Linked DNA regions of Mus musculus: region 1 is reported to be linked to region 2. Evidence: microRNA targets listed by miRTarBase, many of them from high-throughput screens and not tested one by one. Region 2 holds a microRNA gene; the other region holds the end of a gene's coding sequence.

Region 1 (5,074 bases), not on the chromosome of region 2:
TGACCCAGCCCCGCACTTCATCAATTGTATTCATTGGAATGATGAACTTAGCTCCAAGAAGCTTCCTGGCCTCTCCACTGCAGCCACTGTCCCGGGTTAGGAACGGCAGGTCCTTAGTTGTCAGCAGCATCTAGGCACCTAGTGAGAATCGGCATCTGTATTAGTCAGGGTTCTCTAGAGTCACAGAACTTAGGAATAGTCTCTATATAGTAAAGGAATTTATTGATGATTTATAGTAGTCCAATTCCCAACAATGGTTCAGTAGAAGCTGTGAATGGAAGTCCAAAGATCTAGCAGTTACTCAGTCCCACACGGCAAGCAGGCGAAGGAGCAAGAGCCAGACTCCCTTCTTCCAATGTCCTTATATGGTCTCCAGCAGAAGGTGTAGCCCAGATTAAAGGTCTGTCCCACCACACCTTTAATCCCAGATGACCTTGAACTCAGAGATCTCCCTGTCTTAATCTTCTGGAATCCATAGCCACTATGCCTCAAGATCTCCATACCAAGATCCAGATCAGAAACTTCCATCTCCCAGCCTCCAGATTAGGGTCACTGGTGAGCCTTCCAATTCTGGATTGTAGTTCATTCCAAATATAGTCAAGTTGACAGCTGGGAATAGCCACTACAGCATCCTAAATGCAATTTTCATCCCCTTGACTAAACTGATTTAGTTTAATAGCATGTAATCTCAGCTTGCCTGATGATTGCAATGTGACTTGGGGCAAATCTTTAACAGGCAGTTTTCTGGTCTATAGAATGATGTTCTCAGTGCTCCATCTCAGGGTAGTTAAGATGAACAGAATAGAATACTGCTTGCAGCTCCTGTAGCCTTTGGCCAGTGCTTGGAGTCAAGCTGGGTCATGAGGGCTTTCTCCACTGAGAAGGTAGAAGGAAGATTTGGAGCACCGAAGTCTCAGCACTAGATTTTATATGATGTCCTGAACAGGGAACTTCCAGGCCAGGACTCAGACAAAGATTCCACCTCAGTCATTCCGGGCTCTTCATCACAGCTAATTTCTCAGCTTTCCAGGCTTGGTCCTCCCTGGACCCTGACAGAACATGAACTCTTTGAACTGGTAGTCAAAGTCTGTGCCTCTTGTATGATACCTGCCTACCATAGACCATTAAGACCTAATGCCTCTTTGGCTCCAGCGCTCACCTCCCCTTAGAAGCTGTTTCTGGGCCAAGTCAGACCTACATTTTATTTTATTTATTTATTTATTGTTTTTTGTTTTTGTTTTTCCCCGAGACAGGTTTTCTCTGTTTAGCCCTGGCTGTCTTGAACCTCACTTTGTAGACCAGGCTGGCCTTGAACTCAGAAATCCGCCTGCCTCTGCCTCCCAAGTGCTGGGATTAAAGGCGTGCGCCACCACCGCCCGGCTCAGACCTACATTTTAAAGACCTCCAGTGGGACTGGAATAGTTTGTTTGGTAAAGTGTTTGGCTTGTGAGCATGAGGACCAAGTTCAGTCTCCCAAATCCTCATAAAGAAAATGGGAATAGTGTCACACTTCTGTAATCCTAGCACTGGGGAGTTCAGATAAGAAAATCTCTGGTGCTCACTGGCTGGCCAGCCTTGCCCAGTTGGTCAGCTGCGGACCAGTGAAAATCCCTTTCTTAAAGAGGGTGGGCAGTATTCCTAAAGCTGACACTCACCATTGTCCTATGGCCTCCACATGTTTCTGTGCACACACACACACACACACACACACACACACACTTAAATGGGAAGACAGAAGCACAGGTACAGGCTGGTAGTCAGAGATTTATTCTCGAATCCGGATGTTTTCAATCTTGCAGTTCACATGTCTCAAGAATTCAGCGACATACACTGGCATAATCAGAGCAAGATCAAACGATAAATGTGATCAAGGAATAATATATGAGAGTTGGAACCATAACACATACACATATTATAAAGATTGCACATAAATTAAACATGACTTGGTTACAAACAAAAATATATCAGTAAATATACATGAAAAACAAAAACCAACAACGTGGCCAAATGCTGAAACACAGGTATCAGGCTCATTTAAAAAGGTTTTAAAAACACATAAAACTACCTTGGAAAACACAGGTGTGCATTCCTCGTTCATCCAGCCCATGGAGAGAGAGTAAAGCAAGTCACACAGTGACCAAGAGACGCACCTGATCAGAACGCTCAGCTCTGATGACTGTTTGGCGTTGAGCACAACCGCATGCAACAGAGAACTAAGAAGGTTGTCGGTGTCATAAACACCGGAGCTTCTTTGAAGGAAGAAGAAAAGGACATGCCAGGTACACAGAGAAGATGCTGAGACCGCCCTCCTCCCCCTAGGAGACCCCTTGTACACAGAGGCTCTGTGTCTTACGGAGGCTGAATTTTGCTATGGCATTAGTCAAGAGACTAGAGGGATTGGCCCCTCCAAAGTACAAGTGCTGCCCCAACTGTGCCCACAGGAGCGTGGCTTCTGTTTTTCTCTGGAATGAGACAAGCTGTTTAGAAACAGGCAGGGTCTCTGCCTGCAGGAGAACCTGGGGCAGCCCCAAGGTGAGGAAAAACACTCATTAGAATACTTTTCTAGACATCCTGAAAAGATCTACCCTAAGGCATTTCTTGATACAAGAGATGCCTGGGATTCTAAGGACCAGTAACTAAGTTGGGGTGCCAAGGTGCGTGGCCGAACTTTGGCTTGGGACCCATGTGAGGTCACCTTAATTCTAGTGGGCTTACTGCCCTCTGTCCCGCTTCAGTTACAGCAAGGCGTTGAGCTTGGGTCTAAGATGGAGACAAATGAGACCACTGGCCAGGGAAAGCTCCTCCATCTTCCATCTTCTGCCTGTGCTCCAAGGCTGCTCAGAGAAGGGGAGCTCCCACAAAGCACAGGCAGCCAGCCCTGCCTGCAGCTGGTGGTGGTGGTGACAGTGGCCACTGTCTGCTTTCATCCTGCATGCTGAGTGCCAGCTTGTGCCTCTGGATGGGACACTCAGAGCTGCGGGGCTTGAGATAAGCGTGGTGACCCGTTCACCTGTATGAAGCAGTGACAGACCCTGGGGTTGTCCCTTGTACACGAACAAGAACAAACTGTGCAATAGGCGAGCATGATCAGTCCTCCATGGAGATAAGGCCTTTGTATTTTCATTTCTCTTTTAAAAAGTTTAAAAAAAAAGTTCCCAAACTGTGTTCAAAGCCTTCAATGAGTTAGACCAGATGTCTTTTTTTTTTTTTTTTTACATTGTGCTCATTTGCTAGGTATCTAAATGCCATAGGAAGATAATTTTTATTGAAGTCAATGTTTCTACATTCCTCCTCCTCCTCTCCCTCCTCCTAACCTACCCTCTCAGGCAGTGCGCCTGTCACTGCCACCTGAACTCAGAGGTCTCAGCAGCCTTTCCTCCAAAGGTAAGTTAGATTAGGATCTTCCCCCCCTCTCATTTTTAAAAATTAAACACCAAGAGGTGGGACATTTAAGAAAAAAACTGTACAAATCTAGATTTTTAAGAATTCCTTTCTTACAAACCATCTTAACTTTTTACAAAGAAAATCTGACATCCTGAAATGGCTATCAGCAAATTGACAGTGCAACAGTTTGTGGCCATTCTACCGTGTGTGTGTGTGTGTGTGTGTGTGTGTGTGTGTGTGTGTGTGTGTGTGTGTGTGCAGCTGTGGTTGAGTATCAGCAAATTGACAGTGCAACAGTTTGTGGCCATTCTACCGTGTGTGTGTGTGTGTGTGTGTGTGTGTGCAGCTGTGGTTGAGCCTGTAGGCCCAATTAGGGTCAGTACAGGCAGCTGTGTCAGTGGGCGGGCCGTTGGGAATGAGCTTGAGTGGATTCTGAGCCAGGCACACAGGCAGGCAGCAAGTGGTTCCAGGAACACAGCTCAGATGGCTAGTTTGGAGGGTACTGGAGGCCTGTGAGAATAGATGGCCTGGTATAACACATCTCTTTATCAAGCCTACAGTGGCACTACACAGCCTCTCATGAATGCCTTTTAAAACTCATAGGAAAGTCACCACCATCTACACCTTGTACATCTGAGACCTGGATTTGGGTTTCAAAACCCTCTGGGTGTTTGTTGTTTGTTGTGTTACAGAGTCTCACTGTAGCCCAAGCTGGCCTGGCCTGACCTGGACCAAATCCTTATGCCCCAGCCTCCCACGTGCTAGCAGTGCAGTGATGCACTGCCGTGTCTGCTTCCACTCTGATCTTTCAAATGCAAGGATGGACCACATGGCTGAGACCCAGGACTCTACCAAAGCCCCCATGCACACTGTTTGCCACATTCCGATGCCCTGGGTGCGACAGTTGGTGGGGAGAGTAAATGTGCTCTGACTCGGAGTCCTCTACTGGTTTCTCCACAGGGGGTTTCAGGGGTTAGTGTCTTCTCACAAACACATTTGACATGTTAAGAACTACATTTACAGATGCATGATGTGTGACACCATGTGACACCTGATGTGGGACACCACATAACATGAATCTAATAGAACTAAGATACTGACTGGTGTTAGCAGAAATATATATCTTTCCAGATAGTATTTGACCTTAACATGTTATTCCAATTTTTAAAAAGGGCATTTACAATTTAATAACCTTACAGCAGGTAGCCTTTAGAACATAACAAAATATATACAAAGGAATTAGGAAGGATATTAATATCCACTAGGAAATAAATTAACATGATCTCTTTTTTTTTTTTTACAAAATATACTGACCATTAAATTAAAAAATATTTTAAGGCAGGAATCTTCATTTGAAATTAGCATAATCAGAAAATATATCGATAAAATCTTGTACCACTTTGTAGCAGAATTCATATTGCTCCTGAAAAGAGAATGAGAGTATATTAGTAATATATTAATACTAAGCAGCTTCACACATACCTGATGCATGTAATCAGAAGATGAGCTAGAAGCCCAGTTGTCAGTCAGTCTGCTGATGCATCAAAGTCCGGGGCTCCCTCCCACACATCAGTTTCTGTTACACAGCGGGCCTTTTAGGCATGAGCCATGTTCTAAACCAAGCTGTTTGTCCATGCAGAAAACATCAATTTTTAGGTTCACACTAGTGTGTTTTCAGTATGGTCTTTGG
Region 2 (5,075 bases):
AGAGTTTATCAGCCAGGGAGCCTACAACGAAAACTGCAGCTTCTCTCTTTCTTATTTTTTGAAACACAAAAACCAGTAACTAAGAACTTAATACTGGATGACAAGTCACATCCACACTATTTAAATAGCCTCACAGTTAAACACATCATAAAGACCAGCCAAATCAATATTTACATTTATAAATCTCTGAAGACACCATGAGAAAGCTTATGTCCCTTAACTAAACAAAACAGGGAACTGCATCTGATGGTGGTGGAATGAAATTAAAACATTAAAAATACCAGTATTTACAGCAGCACTGATCCTTTATAAATAAAGAATATGAAAATGCAATATCTTTAAAGGATAATAAAAAATTGAGATGATGTTATTTAACCACAGTGCTTGGAGCAAAACAATGTCTCTTTAATGAAGCATTAAAACTTGCACTGTCATGCATTCATATGTAAGAATTGGCAGCCAAATTTCATAAGGTGAAAGTGATGCTTTTGATATTGATTTTAAAGAGAATGGATTGTTTAAAATTGTGTTTTGCTTTCTAAAAGTTATGGTTATGTTCTAATATTGTAAAAGAAACTTAAAAATTATGGTTAAATTGCCAGCATTCCACTGGCTGCAGTTTGTAGTTTGATCACAAGCTCAGGATTCTTAACTCACCCATACTTTGTAATTAGGATGACTACAAGAGTAATAAAAGTTAAAAACCAGCTGTGGCCAGCATGGGTCTGCGTGCAGCTCCTTTTACACAAGCTTTATTGGATACAGTGGTAGATGCAAAATTTAACCCTCCAAGGTTGGAAAGGAGATCTCAGTGAGAATTTATTTGGTATCAAACAGGTTCCTGATGAACTGTTTCAAGGAGTTTGTGGATAGGCTATAAAAACAGCTTATAGAATTTTCAGAGACCCTCAAGCAGGGATTCTTTTGTTACACAATTGTCTTATGAGAATGCTAATATAGCTCTCTGCAGCCATCTGGCTATATAAAGCAAAGGCAGATTTAACTGAATATATTCATCTTTGTGCAGAAATTGGACCCTCATACAAATGGGGTTTGGCTCTGGTTGCTGCCTTGTAGGGGACTACAGTACAAGTAATGCTTTCACAGTGACAAGGTTATAAGGAATGCTTTAAATATAAATCATTTTAGGAAAGACTGTCCAAAAGTTAGAGGCATAGACAGGGAGTAGAATTGTTCCCCTGGAATCTGTCCTCACTGCAGGAGCAGTAATCTTTGGGCCAGGACTCAGGTAGTAGGCTCAGATTAAGAAATATTTACATTTGAGTTAATATGAAGCGCAGAGCAGCCTCAGCAGGCTTGTGTGGCCTTTCTTTTGATTTCCAAACCCTGCCTAGGGAAGTTTTTGGGGCCTCACCTCCCCTCACTTCTGAGGAATTATTTTTAAGCTAAAACAGCATTATTACAGATCTATTCAGGTGTTGTTCAAAATAAAGTTTAAAATTAAGATTTATGAAAAGTCAGTGAGGCTGTGGAACTTGTAGAAGCATTACAATCTGGCCTGCCTACTCCAAATAGAATTATTATAGATTTGGAAGGTTGTTTTTTCCTCCGCATCCTGATAATTGTAAAGGATTTGCTTCTAGTGAGTTTGTTATCATTGGAAAGTTTTGCCTCTAGGAATGGCTAATAGCCTTACATTATAAAACAAACAAACAAAAAATGTCTCTGCTTCAATATAAGAAGTTAGGACCTTGAATCTTTCGGTGTATATTGTTTATTATGTGGAGAGTATTTTATTAGATAATCCTTCTGAAGGGGAATTTTACTACCTTAGCTCTTTATACAACTAACTTTAAAGTTTTGGGGATAGTTGTTGCTCCAGGAAGATTTTGAGGCAATATCTTTTTCAATATTTGGGGCCTCAGTTATATCCTAGAAAAGGTATGGCACAGAAAATTCAAGAAGGAAAAGATGATTTGCTTACTTCAAGTTATTTTCAAAAGCTTCTAGGAGATGTTAATTGGCTAAGACCTCACCTTAAGCTCAAAACAGGAGGACTTAAGCCTTTGTTGAATGTTGTCAAGGGGGGGGGGGATGCAAATTAACTGGTGAGAGACAAATAGCTTTGCAGAAAGTAGAGGAAGCTTTTTAAATCAATTGTTAGCTGCTTATTTTAGTTATTGCTACGCAATGTGCCCACAGCAATTCTTTGGCAAAAGAGAGCGTTAATGTTGATTCATCCATCCTTCTTCATCTCCAAGTAAAGTTTAAAATCCTACTATGAAGCTGCTGTGGTGTTAATAAAGAATTGTAGGATAGAATCAAGAAAGTATTTTGGAAAGGATGCCTTTAGAAACCTGATGAGACATCTATTCCTTGTTTCAATCAGCAATTAAATTGGTTATTAAAGAATACTGATATTTGGCCTATTGCATAGCAAACATTTTAGGCGAAATTGATAATCATTATCCAAAAGATAAGTTGTTAAAATTTGCTTTATGCATGCTTTTGCATTTCCTGTAAATTTATGTATGCATGCCATAAAGAATGCATCTACTGTATTTATAAACAGCCCTTGTATGGGAGAGAAGTATATGTGATTGGATACTTCAGCACAAATAATGGAAATAATTGCTGTAGTCACTGTTTTTAAAGTGTTGAAATCTAGTTTTTTATTTGTATTCAGATAGCCTATATATATATTTATTATATATATATATAATCAGGGCTTACAATTGCTTGAAATTGTTCCTTTTCTAGATACTGCTAATTTTCAAAAATTGCAATTCTTTATGCATATACAACTCAAGAGAAAGTACTGTTCCTTTAAAAGACTGCCTTTAGACATTTAAGAGCTTATCAATGACTGCCTGGACCAGACCACTTAAGGCAATACCACAGCATATTTTTATCCCACACAGAGTATAGGTCTTACATAGGAATAATTGTACATATAATCTCACTCTTTACATCATCAAGATAGTAATGGCTTGAGATAATAATTTGGTATTTTTAGAGAATGTGCATGTCAAATTGTAAACTTATTCTCAGTGTCCTCAATTTCTACATGTTCCACATAATGATGTTAATTCTTGATGACTTATATTTAATCAATTATTGCAAATGGACACTCATATTTCTGATTTTAGAAAAATAAAATATGTACATATGATTATTGACACCTTTCCAGGCTTTCTAGTTGCAACTGCAATTAGTCATTTCCTGCAATATTTTTTTTTTTTTTTTTTTTTTTACGTAAATAACCCGTTTATTGCAGGCTAGGCAAGTCTCAGACAGCAGGGCTTCTACTGGTCTTTCAGTTCCTTCAGTCTTCTGATGGCAGACTTCACTGTGACTGCAGAGGTGGTGTTGTAGGTCCAGGCCCCGCCGGCCACTGTTTTCATGCAGGAACCACAGTGCCAGATGCCGACGGCTCGTCTCTTCATCTTGGTCTTGCCACAGAAGGAGCAAGTGTACTTGGCGTGCTGGCTGATTTCAATTTTCTTCACCATTTTCCGGAGGGAGGCACCATAGCGGGTCCCGTACTTGCCGACGATGCCGACCTTCTTGGTGCGTTTAGCCATGTCGCCGGAACCCAAGCCCAAGTCCGAAGAGCTCCTGCAATATTTTTTATGCTTGATGTTCCAAATCAGATTAAAACAGATAATGGAACTGGCTATTACAGTCAAGCATTTGAGATGTTTTGTCAACAATTTAACGTTACCCATATTACTGGGATTCCTTATAATTCTCAAGGACAAGGTATTGGTGAACTTTAAAACAATATCTTCTTTAAAAATAAAAAGGGGGTCTTATAATCTTCAAGGTCACCAAAAGCACATCTTGCCTCTGTCTTATTTGTTTTAATTTTTTTGCAAACTGATGCTAAAGGTCAGGCTGCAGTGGATCGTCATTGGCATCCAGTCACTTCCAGCTCATATGCCATGGTTAAATGGCAGGACCCCCTAACTAATACATGGAATGGTCCTGACTCTGTTTTAATATGGGGGCGAGGTTCTGTCTATTTTTTCACAAAAGAGAAGACAGAGCCCAATGACTGCCTGAAAGATTAGTTTGTCAAGAAGACACAGATTCTGAGTCTTCTAGTAAGTTTGATTCCAATTATGAAGCTGGCTAGAAATCTTTATCAGTCAGCTGAATTAATTTGGAGCATAGCCTCCACCATTACCTGAGAAGTAACAGTTTTTTCTGTTGATTCTCAAAGCCACCTCCCCAACACTGGGAGTGGAGGCCTTGTGTCTGATCATTGCTAATTTACAATTGAATTGAGTGCTTGGCACATTCTTCCACAGACAACCTTAATCCTATTACTTTTAACTTTTGACTTTGTATTTTAAGCAGATTGGTTACCTCCATACAGGCTGGCCTTCAACAAAGCTCAGTTATGGCAGTTATTCATCGTTATGAAGAAATGCATATTGTGACTTTAGTCTGAATGCAAAAAAGGTGTGCTATGAGGGCTGGCAGTCAAAGATGGGCCACTGATGTTCTATGACTTTTATTAACCTAACACAGAGGCATGTGTCAAGAGGCAGTGTTTGTTCATAATAAACACTAAAAGTTTGTATTTATGCAAATAAACACAAACAAGCTGTGCATGTGCTCCAGGATGGGTAAAAGAAAGTATAGTTTAGTCCCAAGCCAGGTGTGGTTGCCAGCTACCTTAATTCCCAGGCAGGACCATGGAGCATAAGTAAATCTTATGCTCTAGTCCAGCTAATTTTTAATAAATAAAAAGGGAGGAACTGTGCCTTTTCCTCAGACTTAGGCAGGCTAGTTCAGACCTTGTTTTGCCATAGTCAGCTAGCCCACCTAGGGTGGAGTCTTCCGACTTAGGTGAAGTCTATTGTCCTGCCACATTTGCAGCTTCCTGCAAGAAGCCAGTACCTTCTGAGCAGCTGAGCTTGTCTTCCTGACAAGATCATGGTAAAGCAATGAGATCCTGGCAAAGTGGGGGATGTGTTCTCCCCCCTTTAAATTTCAGACCTTAGAAATAAACATTGAGCCTTGATCAGAGAATTTTGTCTTGGCTCATTATTTCTTTTGCCATCCTCCCCATCCATTCCTAGTTTTCCTTTCTGGAATCCAGTAAC

Evidence for each region. The annotated mature microRNA mmu-miR-682 reads CUGCAGUCACAGUGAAGUCUG and lies in region 2 at 3,302-3,322, opposite strand. An mRNA with a match to its seed (bases 2 to 7 or 8) in the 3' UTR can be bound and repressed. Matches are read on the target gene's strand: a 7mer-m8 pairs with bases 2 to 8, a 7mer-A1 pairs with bases 2 to 7 and ends in A, and an 8mer does both.
Region 1: the mRNA of Ptpre is a reported target of mmu-miR-682. Seed matches in the 3' UTR shown: 7mer-A1 at 1,794-1,800.

The regions. Positions count from the first base shown.
Region 1 is chr7:135,682,965-135,688,038 of GRCm38, reverse strand. It overlaps Ptpre (protein tyrosine phosphatase, receptor type, E), which reads right to left. Exons shown (of 21, transcript NM_011212.3): 21 at 1,745-4,807. The coding sequence ends at 4,733. Among named protein-coding and RNA genes, the nearest start is that of Mki67, 31 kb to the left of the region's middle.
Region 2 is chr13:75,643,366-75,648,440 of GRCm38, reverse strand. It overlaps Mir682 (microRNA 682), which reads right to left and starts at 3,395; the gene lies at 3,300-3,395. It also overlaps the pseudogene Gm4149.